Drosophila melanogaster: one gene and its partner. The protein of the gene in region 1 interacts with the protein of each later gene in a pairwise test. Each region holds a gene or a part of one and is shown on either strand. Other genes may lie near its edges.

The links.
Region 2: the proteins of Targ2 (region 1) and CG11409 interact in a two-hybrid assay, tested with the Drosophila melanogaster proteins (one large-scale study listed by BioGRID).

What each region holds. Positions count from the first base shown.
Region 1 is NT_037436.4:21,197,761-21,205,311, forward strand, and holds Targ2 (terminal ADP-ribose protein glycohydrolase 2), read right to left. Parts: upstream 5,331-7,551; 5' UTR 5,318-5,330; exon of another isoform or gene 5,160-5,317; intron 5,123-5,159; exon of another isoform or gene 4,988-5,122; intron 2,929-4,987; exon of another isoform or gene 2,755-2,928; 5' UTR 2,535-2,754; coding exon 2,235-2,534; intron 1,645-2,234; coding exon 1,486-1,644; intron 1,424-1,485; coding exon 1,121-1,423; intron 969-1,120; coding exon 699-968; 3' UTR 501-698; downstream 1-500. Other genes in the region: Targ1 (terminal ADP-ribose protein glycohydrolase 1), read right to left, coding at 1-365; CG10512 (uncharacterized protein), read left to right, coding at 5,331-5,562.
Region 2 is NC_004354.4:1,338,402-1,343,307, reverse strand, and holds the start of CG11409 (uncharacterized protein), read left to right. Parts: upstream 1-1,720; 5' UTR 1,721-1,983; intron 1,984-4,906. Other genes in the region: Naa30A (N(alpha)-acetyltransferase 30 A), read right to left, coding at 1-18, 94-816.

The DNA of each region.
Region 1 (7,551 bases):
ATATGCTCACGCATCTGCTCCAAAGATGCTTGTACAGATTCGTAGGTGGGCTTTCCCCAGCTCTGAGGCTTGGTTACTAGGTAGTAAATGTACCGCTGGTCATCCTTCAGCACCGCAATATCTCCACTGCCCGCTTGTTGGGCTTGCAGCTCGTCCAACCTTCCGAATACCTTCTTGAACTGCACGGCAATTCCAGCACCCATCGCAAGATCTGCGCCCACACAGTGCGCCAAGGAATAGGTCTTGGGGGCGGAAAACAGATCCCCATCCACTTCGCTTAGGGTGTACTGAGGTTTGGATGACATTCCGACTACAAAAGCTCGCCGAAATGCGCTACGTAGTTCTAGAAGTTTGGGAGAATACATTTAGTTTAAATAAGGGTTTTAGATCTGTCTGACTTAGTGTAACAGGCAGCTACTAGATTAATTTTTGGTCATACGATAACACTAGATAATGGTTCGTAAGGGTATATATATGTATTTATCAAAACTCCAATCTTTGGTTAATATCCTCTCGAGGACGTGTTTTATTTATTAATACATTAAATACAGTATAAATAACCAAATATGGAAACTTTGTGTGCTATAAAAACCTCTTAGGTGTATCGTTCTTATCAACTATATAAGTATTTGGTGCATATGATGCCACAAGTCCCAAGCAAAACCATTTCGAGTGTCAAACAAAGATGGCTATATACATTAAAAGGGAGTCTTTTCGCGATGAAGCGAATTTCTTGATCCACTAACGGACCTCGATGGCAAATGGATGGTCTTCATGTGCCGGCAGGTGGGACAAACCACGTTCAACGTGTCCTTAACCATTTGTGGCGGTGTGTAGAAGAATGCAATTATGTCCACGCTATCCTCGGCGAAAACCAGATCCAGCAGACTCCGCACGCGCAACCAATCCAAACGGTCGATGCCGCATCCAAGTCTGGGAATGGCCAACTTGGTCACTCCGTGCTCCCTCTGAAAGAGAGAATATAGCAAGCATATTTAGTATCCAGTATCTTGCTCTAATACAGTTTGGTGAACCTGATCCTAACTATAATGTTTCACCTTTCTCTTTATTTTAGTAATGCAGTTTTGGTCTGTAAGCCCTTAAAAATACAATTCCTTACCATATGTTCCCGCATGGCCAGCAATGCGTAGTAGAGAGCTGCGTAAGTGCACTTTTCGTGGCTGCGCTCCTTGGTCACCAGGTTGTAGATATGTCTACCATCCTGCTCCAGAACTGCCACATTTCCGGTATGCTTGTGTTGGCGCTTCAGCTCATCCACTTGTCCGAATTTGCAGCGGAACTGCAGATTTATGCCCGCACACATAGCGAAGTCCGCACTGACAGAGTGCACTAAGGCGTAGTTTTCCGGGGCGCTGAACAGGTTCCCCCTGGCCTCCGTAATCTGACACTTGGGAGCAGCCAGCTGTGGATTATCTGAGTATTAACCCACTGTTCTTTGTTAATAAGCCATGTTGGATGGCTCACCTCCTTGGACATGTCTTCGTGCTCACAGATGAGTATCTCGATGGGATACTCGCTCTGGGAGAAGGTCTGCTGCACCAGACGCTTCACGTGCTTCCATTCAAGTCCATCGTTGCCGCAGCAGATTCGGGGCATAGCCACTTTGGTGATCTCATGGTTGCGCTGCAGAGACACTACAGTGAGAATTGCCCAATGCACTATTTTCAAAACCTCGGACTTGATGACAATTTGGTTCTGAGGGCTTCACATAATTTGACGGACAGGCGGACGAGGCCCGATTGATTCGGCTAGTCATTCTGATCAACAATATATGTACGTATTGCTTATAGGGTCAGAAACATAACATTGGGTATAAAAAGAAGCTGACTTTACTTTCTCTTCGCTCAATTATCATTCAACCCAATGATAATATTTTATAAAGAAAAATCGACGCTAAGATGGGAAGATCCATTTGTCCGATTGCTACTGTGTCCCAAAGTCCACATAAATTAACTGCATGCCCATTTCATGAAATCGTTTTTTGACTAAACATGAGACACAAGCGAAATTCTTTTGGATGACAAAAGGGGCGAACTGTTTTTAGATACTCACTGTATCGCAATGTACAAATGAATTAACTGTAAATTGACGAGGGCAGCACCAAAGAAACCAGTTTCCCAAGCGTCGAATTGTGTTTACTCTTTGGGGAAATGTCACTTGTTTGCCGGGAAACCCCCACTCCACCACCAAGACGACGGCTAAAAAGCACTCACCATATGCTCCCGCATGCAGATCAAAGCTGCCTGGACATCGCCGTAAGTGCTGGCCTCGTAGAGACTCGACTTGGTCACCAGATAGTATATGAATCGGGCATTGTGCTCCAGAACGGCACAGTTGCCTCTGGAAACACTTCTTTGCCGTAGTTCATCCACATCCCCGTAGATCAGGGCAAACTGCCAGGCGAGAGTTCCCCGTTCCGCCGTAAAGGATGACTCTACGGCATGGGCCAAGGAATGTGTCTGCGGTGCGTGGAATATGTCCAGCTTGGACTCCACTATCTTCACGTTCGCCATGGCGCACTAGCTCTCTACAGAGTATTATATATCCAACTGCAATTAAGCTGAAATTATTCTGATTACCAGCCGAAACAGAAGCTCTCAATGCCAAAAATGATTTTCGTACTTACGTGCACGCAGCGCTGGAAACTTTCACGTCGAGGTCAAAACTCGCGATAAAAACTTTTTCGACTTCGGAATGGTTTTGACTGTGTGTTTTTGGGTTCTGCACAGAAACCTGCACAAAACCAGAATGAAAACAAAGCTATTAACGGATTCTGAACAGCAAGCGGCTAGTTGGTAGCTTGTTTATTTTGGCGATTCGCCGATTTCCCACTCCCAATTTACAATGCCGTTTGGAGGTTACTATTTAATCGACTGCCTCGGCCGGCGGTCTGCAGCGGAATGCGCCATCGGAGCTCGATGTGGATGTGGGCATGGGTATGGTGGTATGGGTTATGGGTTATGGGTGAAGCGACGTGCCGGGCGAAAGCCCAGCGAGAATCTTCGAGCCTCAGTGACAACATTTCGCCCAGAGGCGCCGCCGCGGGGCTCCAAATGTTAATGATTGCACTGTAAAAAACACATCGTTTTCCACTTAATACTATACGACTTGAGTTATTATTTTATTTTATATATGATTATTAATCTATTGTGTTTATCGTGGTGTTAGAAAATTCATTTTGTCATTTGTTTGCGGAGTAAATTGCCAAGCACAGATGGATTTGGGTTTTCAAAATGGATCATGTTTTCAGACCTAGAAAGTTAAAGCGGGCGAAAGTTACTGAACTCGTTTTGAATCTTTTTTTGAAATTTTATTTTTAAATCACAAGTATGCTGTTTTTAAGCTAAATTAAAAAAAAAATGCACTAATCATATATAACCATTTCTAGTTTTTTGAAAGATGTACTTCCTAATTTTTAAAAGTTACCTGATCAAGTACTGAGAATACCGAAAATGTACTGAAATTGCATATTGGTCATTTTTTTTTTTAATTTAACTGAACTTTTTGGGAGAAAAATCCACCAGCAGGCATGACAATCCACTGAATCATAACGACGATAGTGATGATGATTGGTGGCGATGATGATGACATACATGTGCTAGCAAGTGTGAGTTGATACCGCGTAGTTTGTTTGTTTGTTTGTTTTCAGCGACAAGTTGACTTGGCATTGCCCGAAATCGTCAAAGCCGCTGTAACAGCCAATTAAGAACTTGTGCAGGCTTTTGATAGCGTTTTATAGATTAATAACGACGGATCGTTCCGATCGAAGCACCTGTATGTGAATGTGTACCTGTGCGTGGGCCGCTGTCAAAGGTAATCGGCGCTCAAGCGCTAAATAGGGATTGTATACCGACTAAAGTGCATGTATAAATATACATATGACTTAAATTATTCGTTAATTAAATGGCAGGTGAAATAAAATATACCAACACAAACAACGAACAAATAACCATATAAAGTGACAACTTGTATTCTAAAACAAACAAAACAGGCAGCAGAGCGGCAGCAGCTTTTCGATTTAGTATGAGGTAAAAACTTAAGATTTTTGTCGATTGTAGACTCGGATGACGAAAAAATATTTTATTTACTAGTTAATATAGGAAAAACTTAGTAGAAAATAGAAATGCTAAAAGAATTCAGTGATATCCATTTTTAACTATCAATTGATCATGTATTATAAATAAAACGAGAATGTTGCTTCACATTTGCTTTTCAAAACAAACGTCGAAGAAAAAGCATCACTTGCAACTCATTTTATAAATTTTTATATAAACTGACAATTTTTTTGGTTTTTAATTAAAAATATGTTTGTGTCGTAGACTATAAAAACAAATTTATGATTTATATTGCCCTATGACTATATCATAGAGTATATTCTTTTTATGCTACACAAACGGATATTCCAATTGGAATGACTAGACGCCCAATTGCGTGGGTGGTTGTCTCGGCTAATGTCTTCTACTTCATCCTAGACCGCCACCATTTATTTTCAGCTTTTCGCCAAAAAATAGCATCAAAAACAAACCAATTGCTTATGCTTTTCCTTAAATATCCTAACAATAGCACTGATTTTTAAAGTAGTTAAATGAATATTTTTGTAAATCATAACACTTTGCCTCCATATAGCTTTACACATTTACGCATGTCAAGCCGCAGCTTTGAACGAATTGTTGCATTGAAATTTAGACTTCGCTTTTCCTCTCGATGGGGCACCTTGTGAGGAAAAGCGATAGCTGCGAACGATGCCGCCAGTTCACGGCAGTTCAGCTTGTCGCCTCGAACAATAAAGACGACCGATCCGGGAGCCATAATATATATATAATATAGCTTTATAGCACGGCACTGTTTGGATTTTGGCGTGCCAATTGGCGCTAGTTGCTGCCGTTGCTGTTGTTGTTGTTGCTTTGTTTGTTGTGCTAATTACGTAAATTGCGTGTTTATTTGTTTGTTAATTTAAATACTTTACGTAGTAGTGAATTTGTTAGTTGACGACCCGCCAGGTTCGTTTTTTTTCTGGGCAATTAATCTGCGCGCGAGTAAATCTCCCGGAGAAAACAAGAGAAGCGTTGTGAGTCACTTGAGAATTAGAGAATAACTAAAAAGTGCAAGCGAAAAAAGCAAAGCTCACACTCGTCACGCCAGCTCAGCTGATTCTGATTGGGATTCTTACTACTCTCTCTCTCTCTCTCTGTCTCTCTTCATTACGATACGTAATATACGTATACGTATTTGTATACCCCTCTCTCTCACACACTCTTCTATTCTGTTTTGGTTACCTTTTTGTGGGTTACGTTACCTTATTTGCCGATATGACTGCTTTGACATTGCTACGACGATCAGTTACGGCGGTCAGCTACGACGGTTACGCCCACGTTTGCGTTACGAATTGGCGGTTTCTGCCCCAGCTTCAAAGGTGCCAATTGCATTTGCACGTTAGTGGGCGACATGCTGCTGTACTTTTGTCCAGCAAAACAACAGCAACAACAGCAACATCAGCTGTTGCAGCTGCGCAGGCGCCAAATGCGTATGCTAATGTTGGCGGTAAGTTCATAAGCTTAATTTATGCAAACAGCGCGTGCACTCGGTGATTTATGATGCTGCAGCAGATTCATGCATCGAAATCGTTAAATAAAAACCGAATGAGAGATATGCGCGCCTAACGAAAAGGGAGATATAACGATACCTTAGATTCAAACTTTCAAGAGATCTTAGGCAAAAAAATGTACCGGTTACAACCGATTCGATTCAATAAACTACATCACTGATATCATCACCTCTCATAATTGTAACTCGATGAATGGTTTAATTTAGAAATAAACAAAAAAAATTAAAAATCTGTTGTAAGTGAAAATCTAAAGTCTTCCATCAATCGTAAACAATATATATAAATAATAATAAATATGTAACTAACTAAATATGTAACTAACTAGTTGCTGGCATTATTAAGCCACAGAAAAATAAAGGTCAAAGGTCTATCTTCCGAGAATAAGTTTATAAGTTTACTCCATATCAACTACTGAAGTTATTCGTAAATACGTTTGAATTTAAGCGCATACCAACTGCAGTATTATATTTTTGTTTGCTTTTTTTTGTTCAGTTTCTCTTATTACATATTTTATCTGGTATTCGCAAACATCACAATCCTTTATCCTTTGTTAACCCAGCAAAGCCCCAAAAATAATATTTATGTTCTGGCAGACAAGTGGGTATTTTATTATGAAATGGGGGACTGTCCTTTAATGTACGATAAAAATATAAATAAAAACGAAATGGGACTGGGATTGGAGGCGTGTTCGTCTCCGCCTGCCTTGCATTTATTACTAATCACAATTTAATAGCCCCATTGAAAGCTCATTAAGCACTCACTCTTCCTTTTTATTGCAGAAAGTGAAACAGAATTTAATAACCGGTTCCACTTCAATTGCCATTTTATCAACATAACACCCGCTCCAGAAGCGCGGATCGATCATTTTTCTGCCATTACTCAAAAAAGGTGTTAATGAGCGCACCGAATCGGTCATAAAACTTGTTTCACCAAATCCAACACTTGTTGGTTATGTACTCGTTTACTCTAGATTAATTAGGGTCTGTTCCTCAAAGCTCTTTAAATGTACTTCGGGACATATATAGGCTATAACCGATAAGATAAGTGGACAGAAATCCTATAAGAACTGATATAAGATTAAATAATTAGCAGATGGAGTGCTGGGTATTTTTTTATTATTCAGCAAATGAACCAAGTCGTGTTTGATCCATTTAAAGCGAAAATGAGCCAGGTTTGGTTTGAAAATAAACTTTGTTATATTCTAGATTTCAGGTTCAAGTATTAATATGTTATCGTGTTCAAACTCTTTATCGAATTTTATCTGGTTAATAATCAATTGAGTACAACAACTATAGCTATAGTAATATGTACTAACGTGCTGTACTCAAGAATTCATTCTTTTCCATGCAGTATTTTCATGTGGTTGCCCATTTCAATTTTTTCTGAGTGGTGTGACTGGGTTTCGATAAGATAAAGCTCGTAAAGCCATCAACTTAATTGGGGTTTCAGCTGGTATGTATGTGTGCCATGTGCCCATCTTTCACATTCACTTTCGTTGTGTAAGGTCAACAAAGTTATGTGGATTAAATAGAGATACGCCCATTCACGTCGCCCTCCCCATCCTCTTTATATTTTCCTAACCACCCACCCACCAAGTAAATGAACTCAAATTGAAATGCCCTAGACCGTCGCTTCTATTCCAACTCTATCGCTTGCCATTTAACACATCAATTTCAAAGTACAGAAATAATTTCGACAAGTTCAAGGTCATTACCAGGCACACAGATACTCGGCCCACACATCCAAGCGCAAATAACTTGAAATACTCGCACACAAATAATAAATAAGCTAGTGAATAAATAATGTGTGCATATAGACCGCGAGCCCCCTATAATAGAAAAAATAGAGAGACAGCACCGACAAAAATATCAAAAATAAAACATAAACACGTTACACGCGCCGGACTTTTTTGAGAGATGGCGATT
Region 2 (4,906 bases), on another chromosome or scaffold:
GATCAGTCGCATGATGTCCTGCGTGTTCGATATGCGGGGAATTAGATAAGTGTTGCGCACAGTTCGCACTTGGTCATACTTGGAGGTACTCACATGCATTTGGTGTTCAGCCTCGTATTCCTTATATACGATCTCGTCGGCTGAAATGGCAGGTTCCGGCAGTTGGAGCTGTGCTGTAATGGTGGGCGTGGCCCCCTCTGCATAGTCGGAGGGCGGTTGCTTCCTCTCCTGCTCCCGACTGTGGCCACTCCCCGTCGCCACATGCACTCCCTGTTCCACAGCTACATCCTCCGACACTTTTGGTTTTGGGTCCGTCGTTGTGGTTGGGTGTATGTTGGCAGTGGTTTTGCTTGTGGCTGTTATGGGCTTCTCCTCCGGTTTGAGGGAGTTCGAATCCGATCCTCCGCCGTCGCCTCCTTCTCTTCGCTGCTTGCGGTTGTTGTTGCTGCTGTCCACGCTGTTGTTGTTGTGAGTGCTGTTGTTGTTGTTGCTGCTGCCGCTTGTGCAGCGAATGTGATTGTTGTTGCTGTGCCCATGTGCATGGCCATTGACGACCTCCCCAAGCGGCCGAGCCTCCTGCTCCTTGTGACCATGGCCATTGCAAAGGTGCATCTTTTTAAGCAGGCCTCTGAGTTCCTGCGCTGGCTCCTGGTCTTCCGTCGCCTCCTCCTCTTGGTGCTGAACGTGTCCATTGCTGGGTGTCTGTGCCTCCACCTGGCCACTGGAATTTGGATTGTGATTGGGGTTCTTCTCCGCTGAGTTCTTTTTGTTCTTGTACTTCTTCTTTCCGGCCGCCGCTGCCTGGGCATCCGCCATTCTGAAAAGCGACGGAATTGGCTCTAAGAGGGAACCTGCTGCTCCTCCGGGGCTTATCTGGGAGGACTGGTAATCCTCGCCTGCAACCGTGTGCCTCGGACTTATTTTTGGTTATATTTTCACAGTTGATGGTTTTTCATTCACACGCACACGCACACGCTCACGCACATACTCACACACTCGCGCACGCACACATGGGGCAGTCGGCCGTCCTCTTTGTTGTGCTTCCGATATTCGGAGTTCCGGATCGATCAATCCGATCTCGATTTGTGGCGCTAGTGCGTGTGCATGGCAAACTTATGTAAAATCCTATATCCGCAAAACTCGTAATTTTCCTTGCTATGAATAAATCCCACCCACACATATGCGCGAACAGCTGTAACAGCAATCGATTGGCACTCGATACTATCGATACAATCATCGCCGGCCAACTGTGACTATCGGCTATCGAATTATCAATTGATATTATTACTATTAAATTAACAGCTAAGATTAATGAAAATATTTAAAAATTATATTAAATAAAATCTAAAACTACGTTGATTTTATCAAATTTATATTTGGCATGCACCTTACATCGCAAATGTTCATATATTTGATATTTGATTAGATTTGATCTTTGTAATATTATTACAATCTTTAAACGTAATATTCTCATACCTATATTCTTTATAGCTGCCATTTAATTTCTGACTTTGGAATGTTAACTTATTTGTATTTGCAATACTTTTGCCAAATTAGATCGTCAGCTTGTGCCTTTTTGCGAGGGTGTGCTGTACATAACGGAAAAGAGGATCAATAATAAGAAGAAGAAGCTGCTCATTTCAAAGTTCTCTTCTTGTTCTTCCTTTTCTTCTTAAAGAAGAAGCAACTATTTTACGGCGTAAAGATTTTTGATTTACGGGACTTTTGTTTGAAAAAAGTGCTGCAAATCAGTTTGAAGTGTTAGTTATAATTAAGTGCATGTCGTGGCAATGAGTAGCATCGAAATGTTACCCGAAAACGGATGGAAGTCCAATAAATTGCTCGAAACGTATGTTCACTTACACTCGCCATTTAAAAGTATACGTGTGTGTGTTTGTGTGTACGTGCGTGTTTTCTCCTGCGCTTATTTTTTTGTCTCTTTTGTTTTGTGATTTCCAAACTATTAAAAACGTTCTTCAATTGGTAAGTTACTAGTTAAATTCAGTTGTACTAATTAATAACTCTGCAGTGCGACCTTCGCCTACTTTTGGTTTCCTTTTCGCGCCATTAGCATTCGCCATAAAATAAAATCCATAAATTACAGCTAAATCAAATGCAATAAAACCAAATTACAATCTCGAATCATATAAGTCACATAAGTCACTAATCCGCAGTTTCCTGAGATCTGCACTTCCTCCACTTTCCTTGCCGTTTGTCTTGGTTGAGAACGCAGGATTATTCGGAACTTGCAAAGGTTTCGAGTCAAATGAAAATATAACCCCTGATTTTACAATGTATGTACATATGTATGTGGTAACTGCCAGGAGAAATCCGCCTGCCGTTTGCTGTCAATTTTGTGGATTTTTAACGACGGCAATCAGTCGACTGTTTTAGCGTTATAGCCCGTCGCTTTGATGGGGACTCCAGCTCCTCCCAACGTCATAATCGAAAGACTTGGGTAACGAACGAACTCGGCATGGCCGATGTCGTTGCCTCTCAGTTGGGCTGGCTGCCCCCAGAACTGGGACTACATCAGCACTAGCTGGTGACGAAATCGGCTGGGGAGGCCAGGCGGTCTCGATCTTCGATCTGCTTTCGGACCAGCATAGCCTACTTTGCATACGGAATTGGACTTGAATTTGATTGACTGAAATTGAATAATCCGAGCCACGCGATTGGATAATTTCTTGAAATTTTGCATACGAACTTGCAAGCGCAAGTTGGCGTCCGTTTTTCTGGACGTCTGTTTCACTTTTCGCTGTTGCTGCAGTGACGCGGGCAAATCCAAAATTAGCAAAGCAAACAACATACGGAGAAAGTGAATGGCCGAATAAAGTAAAAGCAGTGGCGGAGAAAGGGTAACGAAGAAAGGGGAGAGAGCGGGAGCGGACAGGTGCCGCAGCCAACGCCTTATCACCTTGCTGGCGGAGATCTCTAAAAGATAGAGATACAATTTAGCACTTAGCACCCACGTGACGAAATGATATATGCAGTTTGGCCACAATGGCATGGACTTCTTGTTTTAAACTATATTTTTTGTGTCGGTTGATCATGGTAACTGGCGGCTCCCCAGCCAACGGACATAGCATTGTCAGTTGGTTCGTCAGTGAAGTTGGTTCTATAAGTCAAGAGCTACGTATGCTAAGGCCACCTAAGGGTATTAGGGTATTTGGCCTGCGACCTGGGTATTTGACCAATTTTATTTTGCACATCCACGGCGCATTAAAGCAATTCACTTTTTGCGCGATGCTCCATAGCTCCATAGTTCCATAGCTCCAAGCCGAGCCCCACTCCATTCTCCCGAGCATTTGGCCGTGTCATGTCAAGAGTTATGGGCTTCGTAATTTTTCTGAGTTTTCGTTTATATATTTTTGGTTGTTTTAGTTCGGTTTCCTTTGGGGCTTTGTTGTTTGCCGTGTCGCAATGCTGCGAGTGTGCGCAAATGGCAAAGTCAAAGCGCATGCGCTCCAAATGTGAAGCACCTGGCCAAACCCTACCCCTAGTTCCACCTATGTACCTTACCCATCCCAAAACAACTTAAGTGAAGCATAAGGCATGCGGCTCGAGCTGAGCTAAGCAAACTAAAACCGCAGACGAATGTGTCGCGTCAGCGTTAAATTGTGTCAAATGTTGTCACACACAAAAAAGCAGCCTCAGCCTCCCTTTTTTGCGGCGAGGCGGTAAACACCGTTGTGTGCAAATGGCAAATGTTACAAATAACCAAAAATCGTTTTAATTATTTCGAGCAAAACGTGCCAAGCGCAAAATGAGCCCAACGTTTGTGGCCTGTGTGTGGCCCTATTGAGAAACTAGGTTTAACTGCGTCTTTAAATTTGTAGCAGTAATCGTAAGATAAGACAGAACTCTCATGTTTTGCAAACCCAATGGATTTTCCCGGCCGGTCCACTTGAAGTCCGGAGGGATCAGAGCGATCGAGTGGCAGCGATGGGAAGCACTGGAGCCCGAGTTCATTGAGGCCCATCGACGGTCTTCGATCGTTGAACGGCTATATACAGACCATGGCTGGCCGCGCTCCTTGTGCGTGAGTTTTATTATGCAAGCGGAGCGGAGCAGAGCAGAGACCACATGGTAATAAAAACCAAACCAATATTAGTCCGCTACATTGCGGGGCGCAGCAGCAGAAAGCCAGAGAAAACCGAACCAATCGAATTTGTCAATGGGGGAAAGAAGCTGGCCGAAGTGAAATGCCCGTGCGCTAGCAGAAACCCGTCTGCATCCACGGCAGAGTGCTGTTTACCTGTTCACCTTCCCTGGCCAGAGCCATGCTCCGTCTTATCATCGTTCGCAGTGTACTTGGTCAAGGCAAGCCAGCCACTTTTAACCGGCGATCAACCGATTTGATGGGAGCTGGGCGATCAGCGGTTACCACGACCGGCCTCGCGTCGCGATCGTAATCCCTCCCAAAAATGTCTTCTAAGCCAAATCGATTTTTAATTGAGACTTCGGCGCCAGAGCGCTGCACCCTGCGTTGCCCAGGGCAGTACTTAAAGAACCAGCCAACTAGCAATCTGCTATCGCTATGTCATGCCAATCATTCGAGATGAGGCCTCGTTATTATTAGGTGCTAAAATCGTTCAATCTGCAGCAAAATAGTTTAACTCAATGCAAGCTTGAGCCGTATGGTTACTATTTCAAATGTTATTGCAGTACATATAACAGTCTAGTATAGTACGAGTGTCGGCACATGACGTGCATTAACATGCCTTTTTAAATTGCTTTGTGTTAAGTGTGTTTTTACAATGAACCAATTTATGTAATGGCTCCAAGCGAGCCTAATAGATGGTATCGTATATGTGAGGCCAGCAAGTTGGAGCACCGAATCTAGGCTACGAAATGTAAGTTTATGCCATGCATTTCAAATGGGATTAAATGGATGCATCTAATC